Mus musculus: one gene and its partner. Each later gene encodes a partner of the first gene's protein in a complex. Links are inferred from orthologs where the notes say so. Each region holds a gene or a part of one and is shown on either strand. Other genes may lie near its edges. The genes, in order: Lman1 and Mcfd2.

The links.
Region 2: the proteins of Lman1 (region 1) and Mcfd2 are in contact, whole or in part, in a cryo-EM structure (PDB 8JP5), measured with the Homo sapiens proteins. The link is inferred for Mus musculus from reciprocal best matches to the Homo sapiens genes LMAN1 and MCFD2. Residues at the interface, in NP_005561.1 of Homo sapiens: His43, Arg44, Arg45, Phe46, Tyr48, Lys49, Ser51, Phe52, Lys53, Pro55, His56, Gln59, Ser60, Asp61, Val64, Pro65, Phe66, Trp67, Lys96, Phe265, Glu273, Lys279, Glu280, Ile281, Glu285, Lys286, Tyr289, Glu292, Phe293, Phe296; in NP_001164977.1 of Homo sapiens: Val59, Ile60, Asn61, Lys62, Gln70, Glu71, Leu74, His75, Phe77, Lys78, Tyr82, Asp83, Asn86, Asp89, Gly90, Leu91, Glu92, Thr95, Thr98, His99, Val100, Leu111, Glu114, Leu117, Ile118, Ile121, Asp122, Leu125, Asp129, Lys130.

Annotation. Positions count from the first base shown.
Region 1 is NC_000084.6:65,995,921-65,999,730, reverse strand, and holds part of Lman1 (protein ERGIC-53 precursor), read left to right. Parts: intron 1-1,010; coding exon 1,011-1,165; intron 1,166-1,248; coding exon 1,249-1,356; intron 1,357-2,069; coding exon 2,070-2,131; intron 2,132-2,949; coding exon 2,950-3,049; intron 3,050-3,810. UniProt on the Homo sapiens protein: Mannose-specific lectin. May recognize sugar residues of glycoproteins, glycolipids, or glycosylphosphatidyl inositol anchors and may be involved in the sorting or recycling of proteins, lipids, or both.
Region 2 is NC_000083.6:87,255,915-87,259,724, forward strand, and holds part of Mcfd2 (multiple coagulation factor deficiency protein 2 homolog precursor), read right to left. Parts: intron 2,968-3,810; exon of another isoform or gene 2,847-2,967; coding exon of another isoform or gene 2,836-2,846; intron 2,176-2,835; coding exon of another isoform or gene 2,160-2,175; coding exon 2,014-2,159; intron 1,393-2,013; coding exon 1,233-1,392; intron 144-1,232; coding exon 12-143; 3' UTR 1-11. UniProt on the Homo sapiens protein: The MCFD2-LMAN1 complex forms a specific cargo receptor for the ER-to-Golgi transport of selected proteins. Plays a role in the secretion of coagulation factors.

The DNA of each region.
Region 1 (3,810 bases):
GGGGGGGGGTGTGTGTCTTGCTTTACTGTGACAGTTTGAAACGGAACCAGCATTATCCCCATGCTATGCCTATACAAAGAGTGACACTCAGTGACTAAGGTCCAACAGTCATACGTGGCTCAACTGGGACTCGAGCCAGCTACTCTTGAGTTTCACTTGTTTTCTCTGAAAGTCCACAGTAGTTAAAGAACTGCTTATGAAATTAAAGCGTGGTTGGCCTTATTCTGGAAAAATGTTGATGTGCAGGACATTTTGCACGTGATTTTGGAGTGTTTAAAGAAGTCATCAGGCCTGGCCCTTTCATTTCACACATGAACGTTTGGTGAACCCGTGGAGTAAGGACATGAATTGCTCAAAGCCACAGCAGAACCAGGAGCAGCTGAACTTGACCCCTAGTGACGGGTTCTTGTCAGAATGCTGCTTCTAACATTTGTAACTGGTACGATGCACTACAGACTCTTACTATGGGACTTTTAATATTGAGGGGTAATTTTATTAAAAAGAGATTATGAAAATCAAATGAAGTTTGCCTTTTTTTTATCGAAGATGCATACAATATATTCTGAATATCACTTCCCCTCTCAGTCTCCTTCCAGGTCCTCCCACCTCCTCATCCATCCAACTCTATGCTTTTTCTCTCTTTACCAAACAAACTTCTGTCCCTTCAGAAAACAAACAGGCAAAACAAACAAATAAGTTTTCTAAAAACACAGAAAAAAATAGCACACAGAAACAAAACCCATGAGAACACAAAATCAGAAACCACAATACAGAAGAAAAAGTTTTGTCTTAACCTCTGTCCTTGACATTTAATTTGTGGGTGTAGGCTTCCAGATGTATTTCTCTTTTCAAAAGATAAAATTTCAGAGTCATAGCTGTCAGCATGAAGTTATTTCTGACACAATGAATGTAAAATCTGTCTCAGTAGCTGTGTGTAGCCATTCAAAGGTAATCTGTTGAGTTCTGCGTACTTCCAGCTTAAAGCTTTTCTTTTCTGATTCCTACCACAGATGCTATTCCAAGTGCAGATCAGATTCGAATAGCGCCGTCATTAAAAAGCCAAAGAGGTTCCGTGTGGACCAAAGCAAAAGCAGCCTTCGAGAACTGGGAAGTGGAAGTGACATTCCGAGTGACCGGAAGAGGTCGAATTGGAGCCGATGGCTTAGTATGATCATTTCTGTCACTCAAACGAGCATAGCTGCCAGGCACCACTGGCTCCTAACTGTTGTCCCTCTTACGTTTTCTCAGGCAATTTGGTATACAGAAAATCAAGGCTTGGACGGCCCTGTGTTTGGATCAGCTGATACGTGGAATGGTGTTGGAATATTTTTTGATTCTTTTGACAATGATGGAAAGGTATACTTATTGCTAAAACTGTTAGCCATTTTCCATGTTAATGTTTTTCTAGTACAGTTAGGCTGTAAGAAGGTGGCTTTCTTGACACCTTCAATTTAATAGTAAAGAACTTGGCTGGTAGTCTGAGCATGGTAATTAGTCTTGGTGGCAGAGACTTAACTACTAGAAGCTTTGTAGGCATGACTCTGCACACTGATTTACAGCCATGGTGGAGACCTAGCTCTTCAGAACATGCCAGTGATTCACACCCTGCATATGTTTGGTAACTATGAAGAGTCAGCGTGAGTCTTTAGATGTGGGCAAGAAAACCAGTGGTGTTCAGGAAGCCATGGCAGCACTCACAGGCTTGGCGGCAGCTAGCTCTCGGACTTGGATCCGTTCCTATGTTAACTACTTTCTGCTCAGGGCAGTTTTCCTGATGATGTCTTAAAAGCAGTTAAAAACAAACATATTTACGTGCTGAAAATACTAACTCGTGGCTTGGAAGCTTCAAGCTTGATGGTCTTCCCTTCACTTGGTTGTTTATTGATTTCCAGAGCTTACTCTTACTTAGCACGTTAAAAACTTTTAACAACTCCTTGAAAGCCTAGGCCGTATTATTTTAAAAATTTAAGAGCCCTAGAATTTTAACATTATGAGATCTCATAGAAAATAAAGAATGATGACGTTTTCAATGAAAGATACTAAAATAAGTCTATTTTCTTTATTTCTAGAAAAATAATCCTGCTATAGTAGTTATAGGCAACAATGGACAAATCAATTATGACCATCAAAAGTAAGTGATTTCTGCATTGGTTTTGTTTTCAGCTTGTTTTTGCAATCCTTGAGAAATACATTGCTTCAAATCTCAACACTCTTCAAACGAAATCAGCGTGTTCCCTTCCACTAGCTGCTGTATTGTCAGTAGGCAAAAAGGCATGCGTTCTCTTCTTGTTTTGAAGTTCTTTCTGTGAGCCACACTTTCCAGGTTAATTGAAAGGTATCTTTCAAAAATAAATTTAGCTTTCACCAAATTAACGAGTAGCCAGTCTGAGCCACCATTTTTCAATGTCAGTGTCACTTTAAGGCAGTCAGTGAGTTGCAGAGTCTCTAGGTGGTAAGTGTAAGCTCCTTGCTTCTCCGCGCCTGGCTCTGCTCTTCCTACCGTGGAGACTACAATGCTGCCGGTTCTGTATAAACCCCATGGAGTGGTTTAAAATAGAAATGCCTAGGTCAGCCCTTCAGAGTCTGCTTCAGCTGGCTTGGAAGGAGTTTATATAGACTTGTATCTTTAAACCCTCCTCAAGGGGCTGAGAATGTAGCTGAGTAAAATGATAGCATTTACAGTTTGAATACTTGCCGAGCATGTATACGACAGTACGTTCAGTTCCTAACAGCACAAAATATAAAAACTGTAAAGCCCCCCGGAATGATGTGGATGCCATCCTGGTCCCATACGTAGCATATCCTATAGCATGTTACCCCTCCCTTCAGCGTGTGTGATGTTGGCCTTCCTTTCCAGTGTTGCCAGAGTTCTGACAGGAAAGCCTTTGTCTTCTAACTGACAAGGACTGTCATAAGCCTCGTTGTAACTTGGTGTTTTTGAATCTACAGTGATGGTGCCACTCAAGCTTTAGCGAGTTGTCAGAGGGACTTTCGTAATAAACCCTATCCTGTCCGGGCAAAGATTACGTATTACCAGAAGACACTGACAGTAAGTGACAGTAATCAAATACTCGGGGATCTAATACTGCTTTTTTTTTTTTTTTTTTAATTCTTGACAGAAGATAATGTAATTAAATGTGGATTTCCACACATTTGTATGCATTGCCCTAAGGCAGTAGTTCTGAACCTTCCTAATGTTTCAACCCTTTAATACAGTTCTTCATGTTGTGGTGACCCCAACACATAAAATTATTTCATTGCTACTTCATAACTGTAATTTTGCTACTGTTATGGATCTTAGTGTGAATACCTGATATGCAGGATATCTGGCATGTGACCCTGTTAAAGGGTCATTTGACACACACCGCCCCAGGGGGTCACGACCCACAGGTTGAGAACCGCTTCTCTAAGCGAGCAGAAGTAAGAGTAGCTGGCATATGTGGTCATCTGTGTGCTACTTGGCCAGTGCGTTTCTGATTGGTTAGAGGAAGCTTAAGCACCCAGCCTGAAGATAGCTAAGTGCGCATCCAAGCCTTCAGGATACAAACATGGATAAGACACGGGCCGCTGTTCCTGAATAGCTTGTACACCATAGAGGGAGCACATAGCATCACCATACCAAGTGACAAGGCACAGCAGGAAGGAATTGTCAGCTGGAACCTGGACCCTAGAAATGACCCTGGGGGAGGTCTGGAAGGGGTTCTTAATTGAGGTGCATCTCAAAGCAGGAGAGGAAAAGCGTGCATGCTCCAGCCGCAGAAAGCAGACAGGGCCTTGAAGAAGCTGAACGTTGGTGAAAGCAAGTTGTTG
Region 2 (3,810 bases), on another chromosome or scaffold:
GAGCCAACGGTCTACTGCAGTGACTTTGCAAACTCAGCGTAGTCGATGTAGCCGTCGTTGTTCTTGTCATCGTCCCTCAGGACACCATCTATGATGCTGACGAGCTCATCCTCGCTCATGACTGGCGCCTGCTCACTCCCCTCCTACCGAGAGGTACACAAGACGGTGAGGGGCAGAATTACGGAGGGCATTAGCAAACGCCTACAAGGGTCACTTATCTAGGAGCCCTCGAGGGAGAATGTGCCACTTCTAGGAATCCAGACTCAGGCCAGGCAGGGTCAATTTATAAAACTCCAAGTGAGAAACTACATATGCCAGCTACAGAAAGATGGGATAAAAACAGGTCCTGGCTTTTTATCACTGTTGATATAGTAACAAGGTAATGTACAGACACTGCAGACAGCTGGGTCTGGATTACAAAGAACCGCTTGTCAGAGTCTGTGACTTCTACACCCATCCTAAGGCAAGAGCTCACTGCCTGATTCCTCCACAGGGTCAGCCTACTGCACAATTTGCCTAAGAAAATGGGAACAGTGACAATGAACACCTCAAGGTCAAAACAAGAGGAAGAAAACACTGCAAAACACTGCTGAAGAGAAAGCAGCGCCCTGTTCTAGAGGCTGCTGACAGAGGGCTGTGCCTGCGACAAAGCTCTGGCCATTCTCGTGGAGACCACCTTGGTCCATCTCCCACACCAATGTCATGGCCACACTGCCACTCCCGTGCCAGGACTGCTGGATCCTGACTCCTCTGACAGTAGTGTCACCTCCACACAGAATCCACTGCAGTGAAAGCTTGCTGGGCTCCCTACTGCCTCTCATCTCTCACCCCCTCCCCGCCTCCATCAAGCAGAGTAAGTGTCTCCCCTATTGATGCAGGCAGGCAGGGAGCCTGACATGACCATGCCTTGGGACAGCAGGAAGTACCTCACAGTATGACACAACCCCCACCTACTTCCAAAGCTCTGCCCCTTGGTCCCGGTGTCACCCTTCTTCTCAGATGAAATGACCGCTTTCCTGTGCCCTACACTGTGGTTTTTTGGCCGGACCCTCAAACTCCAGCTGTAGTGAAAATGTCAACATTTTAGCTTGGGCCAACCAGGCTTAGCCTCTCTGGGGTGAGGGTGGGATACAGAAACCGGATAATGCTCTGCTGAGGCAGGAACACAGCACAGGTCACCAGCGTGGGCACTGTCTACTCAGATGCCCAACCCTGCCTCCTCCTTGACCTACCTCCTTGTGCACGTGAGTGATGGCTATGGAGAGCTCTAGGCCGTCAAGCAAACTGTTGCCGTCGTAATCATGCATTTTGAAGTAATGGAGCTGCAGTTCCTGTGGGGACATCTCCGCCTCTGGCTGGTCGATGACACCTTCCAGATGTTCCATGATGTGCCTGAAAACCAACAGTCAGACTTGTCAACACCTTAGAAGGGCTTTGAAACAGTCCACGGTCAAGAACATAGCACACAGCCAGGGCCACCAAAGGTGCAGGGCCACAGCACAGCGGCCACCTGGCACCTTCTTTTTACTGTTAGACCTTGGTTACAATATTTTTTGAACTACCAATTTAATAGCAAGCTCCAGACTAACCAGGGTATCTACTGAGACCTTGTCTCAAATACACAAACAAGCAAAAAACAGATAACGAAGCTAAACGTGAAGTTTACTGGCCAAGGAAGACTCAGTGTTGGAATGTGTCACTGAAAACGCCTTGTCGTAATCAGGAAACCATGAGTACATTCTGGATTCTGTTACTGCATGTGCTGGACAGGGAAGGGGGAAGGAGGAAGTCTGAATTCTGACAAATAATTCGGTGTGTTTAGGCTTCAAGAGCCCCCAACCGTGAGATGCTGAAGACAGGTATCTTACTACCAGGAGTCCCAAGGGATAATGTTGAGCACTGAAAACTGTTCAGGGGCCCTATAAAGTGACAGGACGGGAGGAGGCGGGGGCAGCCTATGAGCTATGGCTGCAGATGGCAGGGACGCAGAGCGCTGCCCCACTGAATACATACTCTTGGTCGTGCACTGTGCTCTTATCCAGGCCCACGCTGCCATGATGGACATCAGCCCCGTGGTCATGGGCTCTGGCACCTGGAGCACAAAAGACCCAAAGCAGGACACACAGCAAGGGAGCTCTGAGCAGCTGTAGGGTTGCCATGCTTCCGGGTGGGTACCTGGAAGGTAAGAAACACAGACGGTGAGGCACAGTACCAGAGCTTCTGGAATCCTGGGAGGCGTGAGGCTGCAGACAAGAGCACTGAGAACGGGCAGAGGAGGGCACCTGCTCAGCGTGCGTGTGCCAGGAGCTGGGTGCCACTCCCAGTACCACAGAAAAGGTCAGCCTAGGGTGCCGGTGCACACCTTTAATCCCAGCAGTTGGAAAGTAGAGGCAAAGGCAGGCACATCTCCTAGCTCGAGGCCAGCCTAGTCTACAGAGCTAGTACCAGGATAGCCAGGGCTACACAGAGAAACCCTGTCTCCAAACACAGGGGAGAGGGGAGAGGGGAGAAAAGGGAAGAGGGGAGAAAAGCGGAAAGGGAGAGGGGAGAGGGGAGAGGGGAGAGAAGAGGGGAGAGAAGAGGGGAGAGAAGAGGGGAGGGGAGGGGAGGGGAGGGGAGGGGAGGGGAGGGGAGGGGAGGGGAGGGGAGGGGAGGGGAGGGGAGGGGAGGGGAGGGGAGAGGAGAGGAGAGGAGAGGAGAGGAGAGGAGAGGAGAGGAGAGGAGAGGAGAGGAGAGGAGAGGAGAGGAGAGGAGAGGAGAGGAGAGGAGAGGAGAGGAGAGGAGAGGAGAGGAGAGGAGAGGAGAGGAGAGCAAGCCAATTCTGCCCCAGCTCACCTGCTTCCCATCACCGAACTGGGCAGTACAGATCCACAGATCTGTTAATGTCCGAGGGCTGAGCAGTCACCCAAGAGCATGCAAGGATCCAGAGACTATTTCTGTATAGCAGCCCAGAGAGAGAAACGCTTCCTAGTTGAGTACAACAAAAGCAGAGTGAGGGGTTTTCAAAACAGAAAAGAACCTTTGGGAGTTCCGAAGAAATCTCCTTGGGTGACGGCTGACAGAGCCAGTAATGCTTCAGCCAGTCCTGGGCAGACACTGGAGCTGGGGGACAATGGCAGCTGAAGGCGAGCAAGTGCTAAGGCAGCGGGCACATGTGGAGCCAAGAGGCTGACACTTCCTGAGAACAAGTGGGAGCAACTGTCAAGTCATGACTAGGCTGGCGTGGCTTCAGGTGGACTCACTGACGGTGTGATGGAGAGCGATGGAGAGAGGCAGGGCTTCGAGAAAGACCACGGGAGCCGAGGGAAGCAACCAAGCTGGTCCTATCAACCTCAAAGCAGTGACCTGGAGAGGAGGCCACCGTCCCCACCTTGTGCACCTGCCAGGGTCCTGAGAGGGTCTCATAACTTTAACCATCACAAAGAAAAGCTACAGAAAAACTCATGTTACATCTTAATGAACTTGGAATTAAGATCAACAAGACAATTCAGCCAGGCAAGCTCCCTGAAGACTAACTTACATCATACCATGGATACCGTAGTTAATTGCTGGTTCAATGCAAAGTTCTGCCCCTCTGGGCTTAGATTAGCATCCTGTGGCATTTGCAAAGATTTCCCCAACCTATTTTACCCATCCCCCACCATCTATCCCCACGAAAAGATCAGCAACCACTGGGAAGGTGTCTTAGGGTTTTACTGCTGTGAAGAGACACCATGACCAAGGCAAGTCTCATAAAGGACAACATTTAATTGGGCTGGCTTTCAGGTTCAGAGGTTCAGTCTATTATCATCAAGGTGGCAACAGGGCAGC